Linked DNA regions of Arabidopsis thaliana. The protein of the gene in region 1 interacts with the protein of each later gene in a pairwise test. Each region holds a gene or a part of one and is shown in the gene's direction. Other genes may lie near its edges.

Region 1 (4,595 bases):
AACTTTAAACATGAAAAAGCGCCTACGCGTAAAGTATTTGTTTTTTTTCTTAGATTTGATAGAAGGGAAATAAGGTTATATACGGACATGCAAATATTTATATGTTTTCTCCATTATCAACATATACAAATTATATGAGTAAACTTCAACAATATAATCCAAAATTGTACTGTTTATCTTTATATTTTCACGCTTTTTTTTTCTTAATGTCATAGGCAAAAATTCTGCGGGGAGAGCAAAACCTTTATTGTTTAGTAAATAATTTTCTTCAATTCATTTACGAACTCTAGACATAATAAATAAATTAACGCCAAATAAGAGGAATTATTGTCCTTGCAAATATATACAGCAAGAACTCACGAGGAGGCAATGTTTGGACTAACCTAAACTGGCCATCTCATGACTCAAAGACGAAAGATCGATGTTTGTGCAAAGTACACTGACTCACTTCACTTCTCATTGATCAATCTTAACTAATATTTGTTCTCTTCCCTTTTTCAGTTTATCTTAGACCATTGTTTCTCCTAGCAACAAATTCACCGAATGATCATGTCGCGATTAGTTTTGGGATAAAATCATAAAATTGCTTCTCATCAAGAATTGCTCCGCAAAATCAATGTTCAAGCAGATTACTAGACCAAAATTTATGATCGAGTAGTCCGAATATAATCTTTTGCATTTAAAGCCTCTAAAATTTACAAATATCTAACCAATGTTACAACATGGCATGTACCTAGTACAAGCTACTAGGTTACAACTTCAGAGCGAAGAATTAAAAAATGAGAATCCTATATTAATGAATATTCTCGCTTGAGAAATCTATGCATGACAACTTTCTATCATCAACAATAATAATTAGATTTGATCAATCTCTGTCGACGAGAACCCGCCAAAAGTGGTGACTGAGAGACATGTCACACAACATCGCCCTATTTATACGTAGAAATATCGATCTATATATATATATATACTAGATCGACAATAATATGGTAAGTTTTTTTATTTTAAATATGGTAAGTAATAAATGCTTGTAATACGAAAGGCCTTTATGCTCTACTCATTGTTTGGTGTATAAAAAAAAAATGGAATCAAGGTGTCAGATATGATGGTACAGCAATTTTTAGCCCCACACGTTGTCATTTTTCTTTGGAAGGTACATTGAGATCAATTTCTATTTTTGTATTATTTTGAAATCATCATATAGTTTCATTGGATTTATCACAAGAGGAATCTTATAAAAATGCGAATGGGTATATCTATCTCTCTTTCAATATCTATGTCACACAAGTGTTGTTGCTATATTGTAGGGACATGTCAAAACTTGTCGACAAAAGCTCCATGAATGGGAAACATTGACATCAAGATACAAAATCACATGATTCTTCAACTTGTGAAAGTTTTCGAGTGTGAACATCAGACTCACATAAAACTCCATTGTAGATATCTCTTGTCATAAGACACTGTCACATTCAATATCGTTTTCAAACTCTCCAAAATACTGCCTGATTGCAATGTTACAATTTTGTCATGGACCCACCAATCCCTGTGAACCAAGCCGGTTACTGTTTATTACTCCGACCCGACCCGGGCTTTTTAAAGATAGGCCCAAGAAGGCCCAATGATTGAAATGTGAAATGTTTGATACATTGATGTTTTTGATCTTCGCTCAAACCCTACAATAAAACTTTGGTTCCTCCGAATTTCGAGTTCTTGTTCTTCCCAAGGCCCCTACTTCGGCCCTAGCATCAACCATTGTCGTTTTAAAGCTCCAGGTTTTCATGGCCAAGAAAGAAGTAACTATCGTTGAGATCTTCTGAAATTAATCAGTCTTGAAGTCTCTGGAGATTGTACGTTTCTCTTCTTCCTTTCCTCGTCGGTTTTAATGGATTCCGTTTGCCTGATTTGCAGTTTCTGCTTCACCGTGAAATCGAAACTCGTTTTGCTCTTAAACAAATATTATGCATGCGTTTCAATTTGGGTCTTTTTCTTGACAATATTGGTTCTGTTTGGATTAAGAAATTGAAAATTAGTTTTGTAGCTGAGCCTTTTCTCTTGTGTGTATAGGAACTGAGCTATATCAGTAGTGTATCTAGCATATTTGATTAATGTTCCTTCATGTTGTTCTTATTGAAGCTGCTTCCATTGGTTTTGTGATTGAGTGCAGGTCTTATAACATGGACTCCATGGATATTGATCAAAGTAACATAGGTGAATCGCCTCACCTTCTGCTGAGACCAGTAAGTCCATTGGAATCTGGTGAAGGTTTACCTTATGCTCCTGAGAATTGGCCTAATCCTGGAGATACTTGGCATTGGAAGGTTGGACCGAGAATTAGCGGTAAAGGCTACTTCGTGGATAGATACTTATATCCTCCTAAGTATCTTCCCGGTTTAGATACTGAAATATTGCGGAAAAATAAGGTGTTTAGGAGCAGGCTCTCGCTCCAACGATATATTCGTGTACACTTCCCTGAAGCGGATGTTCAAAAGTTCTTTGCTTCTTTCAGCTGGAGCATACCCTGCAGAGATGGTCAAGGTTCAATTTACTCTATATGATGCTTTACTCAAATATATACAATTCCAGTAGACTTACTATGTTTTTCCTTATGCTTCTCTCATCGCATGTTTCTGTTAGTTCTTCTTAACCATATGAATTACGTTTCAACATTCTGAACAAGTTACTGATTTCTTGGCATGGTGATTTGTTCTCTGTTTGACAGGTGTTTTGCCTCAGAAGCAGGTTCAGTTACCAGTGTATAGCTCAGATGAAGATCCAATGCGTGATGATGGATCTGATACTGCGGTCTGTAAGGCTGGTAATGAAAAATGCCGGAGCCTGATGCCACAGTGCGAAGCCGAGACTTTACCTGCTATGCCTTGTGACATTTGCTGCGGTGAACGTAAGTTCTGCGTTGATTGCTGTTGCATCCTTTGCTGCAAGTTAATAAGTTTGGAGCATGGAGGCTATAGCTATATCAAATGTGAAGCTGTGGTTTCCGAGGGTCACATATGTGGACATGTTGCTCATATGAACTGTGCTCTTCGAGCTTATCTGGCTGGAACCATTGGAGGCAGCATGGGATTGGATACTGAATACTACTGCAGGCGATGTGACGCCAAAAAGGACTTGTTTCCACATGTCAACAAGTTTCTAGAAATATGTCAGACTGTAGAATATCAAGGCGACGTGGAGAAGATCCTGAATCTCGGTATTTGTATCTTGCGGGGAGCACAAAGAGACAATGCTAAGGAGCTATTAAATTGTATCGAATCAACAGTCATCAAGGTATAATATACTTTGTAAAATGTAATGTTTACTGGACGTTCCTGAAACTAAAGCCAACTCTTTTCAGCTTAAATGTGGCACGAGCTTGGAAGATCTCTGGAATGATGATACACCAACTATATGGTCAGGTACATATCCCTTAATCACGATCCTTTGCTTTGACTTGAATATGTATTGAAGTTGATTTATTGTTCATTATAACAGATTATCTTCATTCTGGTTGTAGATTACTCCGACAGTGGAGAAGCTAGAGAAAATGATACATTGCAAAGTTTACAGGACGTGACTCCAATTGGGCCCATACCATTCAACCATGAGGCTGAGATGCACAAACTCGAAGAAGAAATCGGCGAGGTTCTAAGAGCGCTGAGAAAGGCTCAGGAATTTGAGTACCAAATTGCAGAAGGCAAACTTCATGCTCAGAAAGAATGTCTGAGTGATCTGTATAGGCAGCTCGAGAAGGAGAAGTCAGAGCTGTCGAGGCGAGTATCAGGTACAGATGCGAATAGCTTGATGACGAATGTGCTGAAGAGATTGGATCAGATTAGAAAAGAAGTCACAAAGCTTAAAGAAATGGAAGAAGTAGCCAAGGGATTTGGTAGGACACCTAGAGGGGTTCTTGAAGAGTACTTTCATCTAAACATCGAGGACTAAGATTTATATAAGCACATCCATAATTGTACATTCGTTATGACGTTTGTTTTGTAAGTTTTTGATTCTTCCTCGTAAATCTGAGTTTTGGATGGTCATTTGTTTATTCATTAATCAATTTACGAGTAACAAATGCACAAAAGGTACAATGAAAAGGTCTTCTCCTTCATAAATTGAGATTTAAAATGACAATTATGGAATTAAAAACTTGGAGCCATCAATTAGCTAAATGGCCTTAAAGAGATACAAAAACATAATATGATCAACTTTGGTTGCCACCCCTAGTAGCATTCTCCGGACAAGAATCAAGAGGAGGCTCACCTTTGGGGTTAGTAAAGCGTTGACGCTGCGAGGAAAAAGACAGACGGGGTCAAATTTAGGCAAAGAAAAGAACAACTGAGAAAGAGAGAATATAGTTAAACAAGTGGCAAGGATGCTTAAATTACCTTGAGTTCATGTTCTCGAGTAGAGAGATGCGTGATGAAATTATCAACGCCTTGGCCAGCAATACCTGGGCCACAAATACGACGGCACACAGAGCAAATCCAGGAGGCAGGTCCAGGCGTTTCACTGCAGCTATCCTCCTCCTCCTCAAGTGGCCCTGGATCAGCTAGAAGAAAGTTTTTCCAGAGGGTGGAGGAGGCTTCTCGAGGAGACTC
Region 2 (4,190 bases), on another chromosome or scaffold:
TTTATCACTATAATGTAGTCGCATATATGTATATATATAATTTTGTAGGATTTTTAGGTTAACTCAATTTTTAGCTCTTAGTTGTAAATTTGTCATTTTTTAATGATTTGGTAAGTATAGTAGATGAGAAATCGAAGTTGAGAACCAATTCTATCCGTTGAGTATAAAATCATCAATGGTTTTAGAAGACCGGATTGGTTTAGCTAAATCGAATCATGATTGTCAATAATAATTGGAGAGAGAAAACGTATAATGAAGTAGTATTGAATATTGTATCATGTTTGTCTTACTGTCTAATCGATCCACCCACCGATAATAATAGTATACTTTTTCTGATATAGTAAATAGTAACGATCTCTTTGCCCGTATACGATGAACCTTAATGACAAAAATACAGATCTATCAAGAAAGAACGATGTCGTTATTATCGTATATCCCATGTGCGTAGCAGACCTATCGGGATAATTTTTGATTACTGGTTATGGTTTTATTGTTGTCGTTACCGTTGGATATTTGCTGTTTTTCGTTTTATTTATTTTCTTTTGTCCATTACTATCTCTTGTGTTTGTTGCTAGTAGTAACAAGAGTTGGAGATAGCTGTCAGAGAATTTTATATAGTTGAATAATAAATACAAATATTATAACCCCAAATAAAACGGGTACATATACATTACAACATAACATAACAACGGAAGAAGACATTTGATAGCCTGTAAAGGTCATTTTACAGTGAATCCAGAAGGTTCGTATTAATCATTAAATTAAAATATAATCGGTATTTGACAAAATGAACTGAATTATAGTTGGCAATTTTATGAGGCCCATATGATGCGAAACCAACCGACGATTATACACTATACCTACAATTTTTATTGCACTGACTCGATTGATTAATCCCTAACTAAAAGTTCAAAATATTTGCATCCAACTTTATTTTCATTAGTGTGAACATCAATATAAAGAATTGAGAAGATCATTACAGGTTGTTTCAGATGATAACGACAAGTTCGTTATATATGCACTATAACTTGCTTTGTTACATATGCTATAAAGTTCATTTGCAATATATACGATTTGATTACATCAGTGTGGGATTCCTAGAGGATGAATTAAGTGTTAAAAATGAATCTATACATAGTAGTTTGCTTTGAATCCATATGAAAAAACTGTTGAGGTTTAATGTCGAAATTTCTTTATCTTTGGCTTCGGCTGCAGTCAAAATTGCCGAAAGACCACCTCGACTCCAAACCATTTTCTTGATAATTGTAAAAAAAAAAAAAAAAAAAAACATGATGTCCCATATGCGTGTCTAATAATATATATAGCCAAGAAGCATATATTTATTTAGGGGAAGAGAATGCTAAAGCATGAGTTTTGTGCTGGCTTTATGTTGTTGTAACTCTTAGAGCAACATGTATTCACTTCTAACTGAACTTTACATAATTTAAAGCATGATTTGGATTATCTAAAAAAAAGTTAGATTATGATGAATATACAAGTTTTTTTTGTTAGTGGAAAACTCTCATTTCTTCGAGTAAGCTTCTCCATACATAATTTTCATTGTCTATATATATATTGATCTATTTGTAATTGTAACTCTTGAAAGTTTGGAAAATATTTGTAATAAGAGATAAACAATGATATGGGCCGATATTTGCGAAACTGATTTCAAAGGATTCTTCTTTATGGGCCTATAGAGTTTTGGGCCTTTCTACCAAAACTTTCGCGACAAGCGATATGTTAGGGCACAAGGACAATTCGAAACCTGAGAAGAGAGCTAGAGCTTGTCAGATGTTAGGATACTCCTATCCTTGTTTCCAAACGGGATTACGGTTAACGACGGCGATGGCGCCGGAAATTCACCTGAAACCGAAGAACCCTAGAATTTTATGCCTTCATGGATTCAGAACTAGTGGTCGGATTCTCCAAGCCGGTATAGGTAAATGGCCGGACACAATTCTCCGAGATCTCGACCTCGATTTCCTTGACGCTCCTTTTCCGGCCACCGGGAAATCGGACGTCGAGCGTTTCTTTGACCCACCGTATTACGAGTGGTACCAGGCTAACAAGGTTCGTTGCAACAAAATCCTAAATTTCCTTGAATTCAGTATTGATCATTGACACTGTTAACACTATCAGAGTAAAGGTTGTTTTTTTTCTCTAGAAAACAGAGAGATTTGGTCTAAGTTTGTATACATAATTTGATTTGTGTGTGTGTGTGTTTGCAGGGGTTTAAGGAATATAGGAATTTTGAAGAGTGTTTGGCTTATATAGAGGACTACATGATAAAGAATGGACCTTTTGATGGTCTTCTTGGTTTTTCTCAGGTTTGTTTTGATTCTTTGGCGAGATTTTAGTACTGATCACTTTCATATATATCAGCAGGAGGATCGTGGACCGTTGATTCTTGATCCATTCTTGCAGGGAGCTTTTCTAACTGCAGCTATTCCTGGAATGCAAGAACAGGTACATAACTGCATAACTGATCATAATCCTGGTTCTGAGATTGAATCTGCTTATGATATTTTGAAGAATGAAACCTATTGTTAGAGTAGTTTTCTATTGTTCTGTTTTGAGCAAGTGTGTGATGTTGAAACCATTTATATGCAACAGAGAGGTTGAATCTGAATTGAAGAATGAAACATGTTGTTTTAATAGTTTGAGTAAGTCTGTGATGTTGTAAACTGTTTTGTAGGGATCGGCTCTAACTAAGGTGCCAAAAGTCAAGTTTTTAGTTATCATTTCTGGAGCGAAAATTCCAGGGTTGATGTTTGGGGAGCCTAAAGCTGCTGTTAATGCATTCTCATCTCCAGTTCGTTGCCCATCACTCCACTTCATAGGTAAACTGTTACTACGTTGCGCATGTTCTTGACTTGATTTCTCGGTTATGTTGTAATGCCAAGTTTCTGTTGTTTGAAGCTTACGTTAGTAGTGTGCCTTTAGTGTAGCCAAGATTGGCATGGGAGTGTTTAGACTAGAATCTAATCTGCAGCACTACATGTTAACGTTAGAGATTCTCTCCTACAACATTTGATATGACATAAGAGACAACTTGTTTGTAATTCTGTATCGGTTTTGCTGCAGGTGAGAGGGATTTCCTGAAGATAGAAGGTGAAGTGCTTGTAGAATCATTCGTAGAGCCAGTGGTGATCCATCATTCAGGTGGACACATTATACCAAAACTCGGTTAGTAAGCATGAAAGGCTGATCATTTAAGCTCTGATTTTTTTTGGAGAAATATGCAATTGAAATAAGTAACATAAGATCTGTCTCTTCTTAATTTACTCTAATGAGCTTATCTTTGTCTTCTGCAGATACTAAAGCTGAGGAGACAATGTTGAGTTTCTTCCAGAGCATTAGGCAGATGCTTTCTGATGAATCAGGTTCTGTAAGAAGCTTGATGTGACTGAGAGCTACTCCAGTATGGTTTACTTTAGATTAGATGATCTTGCAATTTTATAAAATTGTGAGATGTGATTATTCTTCTGGTTTAGTCTTTATCCAGGGACAATTCAATAAACGTAAATTATTAAATTTACCAACCAATATGGATTGCCCGTTCATGTAATTACAGTTTATAGAGAAGAGCCAAAGATGGTCAAATAGTTTGGTACAATTGTCTTCCTTTAAATATATGAGCAGCCAATATCAAAAACTCTATTCAAACTTTTTTCTTTGTTATAGGAAAAATGTTAGGAGAATTTAACAACAAAAAAAAAAAATGATGGAAGAACAAAAAATATGGAGGGGGGCATCAAAGAAGGTGAGTTAAATTATTGTCCTTTAGATGTATTAATGGTCAAATGGATCTCATGATAATCTATGAGTTCCACTTGTAACAAAGTTTTACTTCTTTTTCAATCTACCCCCTTATACCCTATTAACTTAGCCTTGTCGGTTGCTTTCTAGTCTTAAAAAAAAAACAAAATTTCAACTCTTTTTTTATTCTTGTATGAAATAATTGATTGAACATATCGAATTACAGATCATATGATTACCCCTCATTTCAAAATAAATATATGATAAACAGTAGACGTCGACATGGGTTGTGTAATTTCAGACTTATATGTATACCCATCATAAGTATTCTCACGCTTGCAAAGCTTTAACTGTTTAGTTTTCATGCACTTTTAACAAATCATCATCATAATCTATTTTCAACAATTTGCTTATATCTTGAAATAGTTGTT
Region 3 (4,042 bases), on another chromosome or scaffold:
ATTCGTTGTTAAGTCTCAAGAAATGATAATCCGAATCAAATATGGGCTGGTGTATTTAAAAAGGCTGAGACCCAAAACAATATTTTTGTTTGGCAACATCTATATATATATATTTTTGCAACACTTTTATGAAATAAATCCATAAATCCTGAAATTGAGGTTTATTTACAATCCAATGCTATTGGCATTTAATATTTTAATAAATTTATTCTTAAATCTAAATATAAATCAATTTTGTTACTAAAATTTAGAAAACAAAAAGAAAAATAGTCACAGAAATCATTTAAATCTTTTCAAATCTAAACTAAAATATACTACACACTAACTTAAAATTAACTTAAAATCATTTAAATCTTTCCAAATTTAAACTTCTAAAATAATTAAAATATTTTGCCCAAAAAACAAATAATAATAAAAATATCATGAGACAAGTTATATAGTGAAGCGGATTTGGATTGATATAACACGGGTTAAATATTTATTTATTATTTTATCATCACTAATTTTTTATTTACAATATTAATATAAAATTATATAACTTTAATATTAAATTAAAACCATAAAATTTAATATTATTATATATATAAATAAAATATTTGTCCCGTGGTGTACCACGGGTTAAATCCTAGTATCACTTATTTCTGTTTTGTTTTAACGTTTTTAAGATTTTATAGCTTCTTGAAAGAAACGACTCATCCTACAAATTACAATCTTTGTCAATGTTTAGGATTTTTTATTTGCATTTTTATCTTCTGTTTTGAGAAGATGTCCGTCGCTCACAAGTAGATAGGGAGACATATTATTAATTTTAAATCAATACTAGTATAAAATAACAAACGACACCAACAACACGATAATATTAATAACGAAAATGAGACTACGATAAAATAAAAAAATAAAAAATCAGATCCCAAGAAAATAATGTTAAACTACTGGGACCTGCTTTATTACAGGTTGGTCCAAATTTCAATCGGAAACATACATAATGATAATTAATTATTCCAAGACTTTTGCGGTAGCATTGCCAAACAAAAGGAAACAGTTTAACCTATTTGGTATGATAACTTTGTTCGTTTTGATAATTAAACATATGCTCTTCACCCACCTATTTGGTTGACAATGGAATGAAGAGTCAAGACATATGATTGATTATCGTATGAAAAATTCAATCGCTAAACTACCTCTAAAAACGGTATATGACTAATTAATCCATTAGCGAAAGCCCAAGAGAGCAGTGAGAGTGGGCTCAATCGTGGGTATTAACTACATGCCTACTACAAGTCATGAGATACCAATGGTTATCATACCACACGTGGCAACCATTCCTTCCAGCCTTTCATATACTTTTTTAATTTTTATCCTACTTTTTTTTTTAAGAATATACATAAAAAATTCACTATAATGAGACAAAGTTAAAACCCTTTATTATTTAACTTAAAGCACAGAAGAAAATGTGAGTATTTGTGTCAAAAATAACAAAGTTCGAACCAAAGTTTGTAAATTTTTTGATTAAAATCTAAGATGATGTAAAAAAGAAAAGAATGTAAATAATGTTTTTGTCCGAAATTTATTGTTACAGTCGTTTTCCGCTGAATTAAATTCGAATTTGGTACTTTGCCAAGAAAATCGGGTAATTATTTTAACGTTTTTAGAAAAAATGACTCAGACAGTGAAAACAAAGTTTCCTTTTTGTCTGTTTCTGTCTTTTATTTTTGACTACAGTAGTAGGCACACACACATTCTCTTCTATTTTGGCGAATTTCGCCTTTTGTGCATTCTCTCTCTCTCTCTCCCGGAGTCTCAGGCTTTCTCTTAACTTCTCATTCTCTCCTTGGTTGATGAAACTGGATCGATTTGATAGAACCCAGATCAAATCTGTTGACATTTTTCCAGATTTCGATGCTTTTTTGAGATTGGGTTTCTCTTTCTTTTGATGAAACTTATCACTTTCAGGTAAATCCTATAGTCTAAACACTTGCTTTTACGAAATTTCGTTACTAAACTGAAGTTAAATTCGCCGCCTTTGAATTTCTCAGCGTTGCCCAGTTTTGGCCACAAGGTGTTTGTTGAAATTCCGGAGAGAGAGAGAAGCTCGAAATTGGGAATTCTGTAAGGAAAAAAAAATGAGAGATTTTCCTTCTTGCTCTGGTGAAAATGGTGTTCAGATTGCGGACTCTTCGTCTTCCTCGAGCGCTGGAAGAAATGCTCAGAATTTGGTAATATGCATCTACCGTTGCCGCATCCGAGGTAGGACTTGCTTGATCACAGTCACATGGACTAAGAATCTGATGGGTCAGTGTGTTACCGTGGGGGTTGATGATTCTTGCAACCGAAGTCTGTGTAAAGTCGAGATTAAGCCGTGGCTCTTCACTAAACGAAAAGGGTCCAAGACTCTAGAGGCGTATGCCTGTAATATCGATGTTTTCTGGGATCTCTCGTCTGCTAAATTTGGATCCAGCCCTGAACCTTTAGGAGGGTTCTATGTTGGAGTTGTTGTTGACAAAGAGATGGTTCTTCTTCTTGGTGATATGAAGAAAGAAGCTTTTAAAAAGACGAATGCTGCACCTTCTTCATCTTTAGGTGCTGTGTTCATTGCTAAGAAAGAGCATGTCTTTGGCAAGAGAACGTTTGCAACTAAAGCTCAGTTTTCAGGTGATGGCAAAACTCATGATCTTGTGATCGAGTGTGACACTAGTCTCAGTGATCCTTGTCTCATTGTTCGTGTCGATGGAAAGATCTTGATGCAAGTGCAGCGGCTTCATTGGAAGTTCCGTGGCAACGATACCATAATTGTCAATAGAATCTCTGTGGAAGTTCTCTGGGATGTCCACAGTTGGTTCTTTGGGTTGCCATCATCACCAGGAAATGCAGTGTTTATGTTCAGGACTTGTCAATCTGTTGAAAAGACCTGGTCTTTCACACAGGTCCCCACGAGCTCAAAATCTCAAAGTTTTGGGTTTTCATTGATTCTGTATGCTTGGAAGAACGAGTAGAGAAGAAGAGTTTTGAGAGTTCTTTTGTTTCTCTTGAGTGCTAACTAAAGGTTAAAAAGGAACTGTTGATTCTTGTCAATTTATTTTATCATATGATCAATTGGTTTCAATTATAGTTTTCTCGTAAAATGTTCGAACCGGATCATTGAAGTATATATCAGTTTCATATGTCAAAAGTTTTTACTTGAGACTTGTAAAGACTTTTGTTCAAAGCCGATTACTTTAGCCCTGTATCAAGAAACCAACTGTCTAGATACTCTGTTTTGTTCTCCATGTGCATAATGTTCCTCAATACACTTGATAGTTCTAACTACATTAAGGGTTTCTTTGGTGTATGGTCTTTCTTCTATTGGCTGTTCAATTGTGGACAAATCAGATTATAACGATCTGAGCTAAAGCTAGTAGTTACAAGAAGATTATCAAACATGTGCTTTGCATCCATCTAGATATTCTTGCTGAATCATTTTATCAAGTATATGTATCTTCCTTTTAGAGATATATCATGTATTTGGTTTTGTTTAGCGCCATACCTTTTGAGACATTGTATATAGCACTTTGTTATTATCCAGCTCTTTGCAGTTTCTGCAGGTTTAAAGAGTATTTTATCAAGGATTCTAGAGAGACGTGGGTTTGTACTTGAAGATTCTTAAATTGTGAATCAGTAAGTCATGTTTCAAGTTTTCACATTTCAATTATTTCCTTGCTGCGGTCTCTTCTCTAGCCCTCCTAGACTGCTAAAAAAATTAAAGATTATAATAGCATGATAGATACTCTTGCTGAATCATATGGTTTAGGTAGGGTTTTCAACTTGCTTCAAACAAACCTCTCTATAGTTGTTCCTGTTCCTTAGAAAAACTGTCTGAATAATGTTTTGAGTTTTGACTGTTGGGTTTGTCCAAATAATGTTTTGAAAACTTTTCCTTGAAGCTGTTCTTGTAGCATGAACCCGTGACATGAGAGAGTTTGCAAAGTTTATTATGATTCGATATCCACCGAAAAGTGTACAACATAGCACTCTTGCTTGAAAGAACATCAAAGTTCTCTTGGAT
Region 4 (4,444 bases), on another chromosome or scaffold:
AAAAGAAATAGGAAAAGGGTTTACTAACGCCAAAAAACCCAACCCTTGTCTGCGTTCTTCATCAGCGCCGCGTTCTCAAAGTTGCTCTCACAGTCTCCGATCTCCAATTTTATGTAAGTTCTTTCTCTCATTCCGATTCCAAGTTTCGTATCGATCTCTAAGTAGATTCGTATTAAGCTATAAGAGATTGATGAACCTAGTTGCTCCCGTACTCGAGAGGCTTAGATTTGGAATCGAAATCGATTGTGATGATGTTTAGTTAACGAAACCCAGTCACTAAATCCTTGCGTTGAGCTTATCAAACCCTAATTTTAGAGGATTTAGATCCATTTGCATCACATTTCTGCGTAGTAAATCAAGAATTAGTCTCCAAAGACTCTTCTTTTAACAACATTTCAACCAATCTGCGTTTGATTTGTAAGAAATGTTGTGTCAAGTTCACTCTCACTATGATCTCTCTTTGGATTCAAAGTTTGTATCTTTTTGCTTCTATGCATCACCAAATCTCTCTTTGGATTCAAAGTTTGTATCTTTTTGCTTCTATGCATCACTATCATATAATACCTTCCTTCAATTGATCTCCTCTGCTTTTAGCTAGCAAGTTTATAGGTTTCTTAACTTATTGTGAGCTAATTGGATTACAATGAGATATTATCATCTTTAAAGAATTGTGGTTTTGGGCATATGCAGAAGTTATGGCTGGAAAAGCTGCAGAAGCTGTGGCAAAGACAGTGACAGGGTTTCAACATCCATGGAGGGCGAAACTCGATAAGTACAGAACCGAGTTGACGAAAGGTGTGTGGGGTTATTGGGAGATGGGAGCATGGAAACCGTTAGGGATAAGTGCACGAAGGAGGGCTATGCTGAGGAAAGAAGTGTTGACTAATGGAGAAGATTGGCCTTATGATCCAGAGAGGAAAGCTATGAGGACAAAGAGGAAAGGGCATAAATGTGATAGAATTTCAGCTGAGAAAAGAGAGAACACTGCGAAGCTTATGTTGAAGATGCCTCAGATGTTGCTTGATTATAAGAAGAGAAGGTGGGAAAAGAAGATGAAGGAAGAAGAGAAAGCTAAAGAAGACAAGTAATTGATTTGTTGAGATCATGATTACTATAGACTTGGTTGATGAATAAGAATAATTTAGTTTGTTGATCTTATGAAATCTTGGAAGGTTTAAGATCACAAGTTTGCTTCTGATATACTTTTGTATGATGTTTTTTTATGTTTGTTTTTAACAGAACCCAAAAGTGTTTGTGGTTAGGATCGGAATTTGTTTTTCAACCAAGACTAATTTTGACTGTAAAATATGGTTTATGAAATATCGGTTCGTGCAATTTCTAGAAGAAATGAAGAGATCGATAGGTTTTGTAGATAAATTGATAAGTTAAACTAAATGATAGAATCGTAACAAACGAAAAATAATCTCAGTGAAAGAAAATCTCAACTGTTTTTATTTAGTTAATTCTATAAATATGATCGTTTTTTCGGATTTTTAAGGAAAGAATACACGAGAAAGTATTTATCTAAAATTAATAATCAAACATATCACCATGTTTATATTTTACAAATTAGATTAATTTATTATTAGATTATTTTTGTTAGCTCTAAAATAAAATTAAGCGTGTAAAATGTTTTTGAGATAAGTGTATGTTACATTAATAGAAAAAAAAAGAATTCTTGGACCAAAGTTGACTAGTTTTCTCTGCCACACGACCAAAGTGACGCAAGCAATGATATATAGAAAAGCAAATGCCGCCACCTAAAAAAAGACGTCTAGGTTCAATGAACCTAAATTTCAGCTGCTTCTTTTATAATCCCATTTCTCTCAACAAATCTTAAGAGAACACAAAATTAGAAAAAACACAACACAAAAATAAAAAAAACTTAAGAACATTGTTTCGAGAGATTTGGTTTGGAGTGAAAATGGCACTAGCAATCAACGTTTCTTCATCTTCTTCTTCTGCGATCTCAAGCTCTAGCTTCCCTTCTTCAGATCTCAAAGGTAATTTATTTCATTTTCAATACCAAATTCGTGGAGAATCTTAGAAATGCCTTGATTGGTCATTGTGTTTTGGTTTTAAATTCGTTCAAATTCGATCAATGTCGAATCTTATTCAATTTGTTTGTTTGATTCTTCAATACAGTAACAAAAATCGGATCATTGAGGTTATTGAATCGTACCAATGTCTCTGCGGCTTCTCTGAGTTTGTCCGGGAAGAGATCCTCCGTGAAAGCTCTTAATGTGCAATCAATTACAAAGGAATCCATTGTTGCTTCTGGTAAGTTCTGGTTTGATTTTTCAATTGATCATTGGTTAATTTGATTAAGGTTTATGCTAATGATCTTGTGCTTCATTACAAAACAGAGGTTACAGAGAAGCTAGATGTGGTGGAAGTTGAAGACTTTGAGGAACTAGCAAAGAGATTAGAGAATGCTTCTCCTCTTGAGATCATGGATAAAGCTCTTGAGAAGTTTGGGAATGACATTGCTATTGCCTTTAGGTAATGAATTGAATCATGAGAATACAATAAAGGAATGTTTTTGTTTTCCTTTAGTTTGCTGATTTGTTGTTTTGTTTGGTTTCAGTGGAGCTGAAGATGTTGCTCTGATTGAGTATGCTCATTTAACTGGAAGACCTTATAGGGTATTCAGTTTGGATACAGGGAGATTGAATCCAGAAACATATAGACTCTTCGATACCGTGGAGAAACATTACGGTATTCGGATTGAGTATATGTTTCCTGATGCTGTTGAGGTTCAAGCTTTAGTTAGGAACAAGGGTTTGTTCTCTTTCTATGAAGATGGTCACCAGGAGTGTTGCCGTATTAGAAAGGTGAGACCTTTGAGGCGTGCGTTGAAGGGTTTACGTGCTTGGATCACTGGTCAGAGGAAAGATCAATCACCCGGGACAAGATCGGAGATTCCTGTTGTTCAGGTTGATCCAGTGTTTGAAGGATTAGATGGTGGAGTTGGTAGTTTGGTGAAGTGGAATCCGGTTGCTAATGTTGAAGGGAATGATGTTTGGAATTTCTTGAGGACGATGGATGTTCCTGTCAACACGCTTCACGCTGCGGGTTATGTTTCAATCGGATGTGAGCCATGCACGAGAGCGGTTTTGCCGGGTCAGCATGAGAGAGAAGGGAGATGGTGGTGGGAAGATGCTAAGGCTAAAGAGTGTGGCCTTCACAAAGGGAATATCAAGGAGAATACCAATGGAAACGCAACCGCTAATGTCAACGGGACAGCCTCAGTCGCGGATATCTTCAATAGCGAGAATGTTGTGAACTTGAGCAGGCAAGGGATTGAGAATTTGATGAAGTTAGAGAACCGGAAAGAGGCTTGGATCGTTGTGCTTTATGCACCGTGGTGCCCGTTTTGTCAGGCAATGGAAGCTTCATTCGATGAATTGGCGGATAAGCTGGGAGGAAGTGGTGTGAAGGTTGCTAAGTTTAGAGCTGATGGTGACCAGAAGGACTTTGCCAAAAAGGAGTTGCAGCTTGGAAGCTTTCCAACAATACTTGTGTTCCCAAAGAACTCTTCAAGACCAATCAAGTATCCATCAGAGAAGAGAGATGTTGATTCTTTGACATCTTTCTTGAATCTTGTTCGGTAAATCCGCAATAAAATCCGCCGACTCTACGATGACGAAGAGATCAATAATAGACCATCCAGTCTCGTTCCAGATTGCTAGAACAGATGAAGAAGGTGAAGATGAGAATCTCTATTTGGAGCTTTAGCCTTTTGTATAGCTGTGGTTAAAAATAATTACGCCAAGGTTTTGCCTTTTGTGAGTTTATTTTTACCAATTTTCAGTGTATTACTCCTTTTTTGCCTTTGTGATGGATATGAACAAGTTTGATATGAAAGTGACTCATTACTCATTAGCCCCAAAATCAATGTTATTTAAGTAAAAGCAAAAGAGGAAAGTAAGAAAAGGAGAAGTTTCTGACGATTAATAAACCCAAAGGGAAAGATATCCAAACATCCAAAGCAAAGTTAAAAGCCAGAGAAAAGAAGGAAGCAATGTACATCTTTATCTTCCTGATTTATGTATGTACATCAAAGTCATCCAAAGATCGATTTTTATTCAAGCAACGGTAAGAGATCCAAAAGTGTTCTCTCCACTGTAAGTCATGTAGAGGAACCCATCCTCATCTTTGTGTTCTTCATAGATCGCAGACATCAATGCAGCTGTTAAGAAACAAAAGTGAAACCAAAGTTAGTGGTAAAGAAAGAAACTTTGATCCTGAATGGTGTTAAAGAGTTTAAGAACTCTTACCAGTTGGAGGCAATGTGTTCTTAACAAAGACAAAAATAGCTTTCTCAGCTCCAAGCTTGATTCTTTTACGAACCACGTATACAAATTGTCCCACTGTTAGATCAGCTGGTACAAGATACCTAAAAGAAAGTGGAAGAAACATAAGTTATCAAGATTATGATATA

What was found.
Region 2: the proteins of AT1G05410 (region 1) and AT5G65400 interact in a two-hybrid assay, tested with the Arabidopsis thaliana proteins (one large-scale study listed by BioGRID).
Region 3: the proteins of AT1G05410 (region 1) and AT3G04860 interact in a two-hybrid assay, tested with the Arabidopsis thaliana proteins (one large-scale study listed by BioGRID).
Region 4: the proteins of AT1G05410 (region 1) and APR3 interact in a two-hybrid assay, tested with the Arabidopsis thaliana proteins (one large-scale study listed by BioGRID).

The regions. Positions count from the first base shown.
Region 1 is NC_003070.9:1,584,848-1,589,442, reverse strand, and holds AT1G05410 (CDPK adapter, putative (DUF1423)), read left to right. Parts: upstream 1-1,648; 5' UTR 1,649-1,847; intron 1,848-2,164; 5' UTR 2,165-2,174; coding exon 2,175-2,535; intron 2,536-2,719; coding exon 2,720-3,285; intron 3,286-3,352; coding exon 3,353-3,413; intron 3,414-3,511; coding exon 3,512-3,939; 3' UTR 3,940-4,072; downstream 4,073-4,595. Other genes in the region: AT1G05400 (uncharacterized protein), read right to left, coding at 4,199-4,282, 4,383-4,595.
Region 2 is NC_003076.8:26,129,657-26,133,846, forward strand, and holds AT5G65400 (alpha/beta-Hydrolases superfamily protein), read left to right. Parts: upstream 1-1,626; 5' UTR 1,627-1,737; coding exon 1,738-2,070; intron 2,071-2,228; coding exon 2,229-2,327; intron 2,328-2,424; coding exon 2,425-2,466; intron 2,467-2,695; coding exon 2,696-2,840; intron 2,841-3,084; coding exon 3,085-3,186; intron 3,187-3,314; coding exon 3,315-3,406; 3' UTR 3,407-3,644; downstream 3,645-4,190.
Region 3 is NC_003074.8:1,338,300-1,342,341, reverse strand, and holds AT3G04860 (hypothetical protein (DUF868)), read left to right. Parts: upstream 1-1,718; 5' UTR 1,719-1,953; intron 1,954-2,036; 5' UTR 2,037-2,123; coding exon 2,124-2,993; 3' UTR 2,994-3,515; downstream 3,516-4,042.
Region 4 is NC_003075.7:11,656,454-11,660,897, reverse strand, and holds APR3 (APS reductase 3), read left to right. Parts: upstream 1-1,792; 5' UTR 1,793-1,841; coding exon of another isoform or gene 1,842-1,924; coding exon 1,925-2,003; intron 2,004-2,145; coding exon 2,146-2,280; intron 2,281-2,366; coding exon 2,367-2,502; intron 2,503-2,587; coding exon 2,588-3,614; 3' UTR 3,615-3,890; downstream 3,891-4,444. Other genes in the region: AT4G22000 (tyrosine sulfotransferase-like protein), read left to right, coding at 696-1,088; APG8A (Ubiquitin-like superfamily protein), read right to left, coding at 4,089-4,192, 4,281-4,399. UniProt on the Arabidopsis thaliana protein: Reduces sulfate for Cys biosynthesis. Substrate preference is adenosine-5'-phosphosulfate (APS) >> 3'-phosphoadenosine-5'-phosphosulfate (PAPS). Uses glutathione or DTT as source of protons.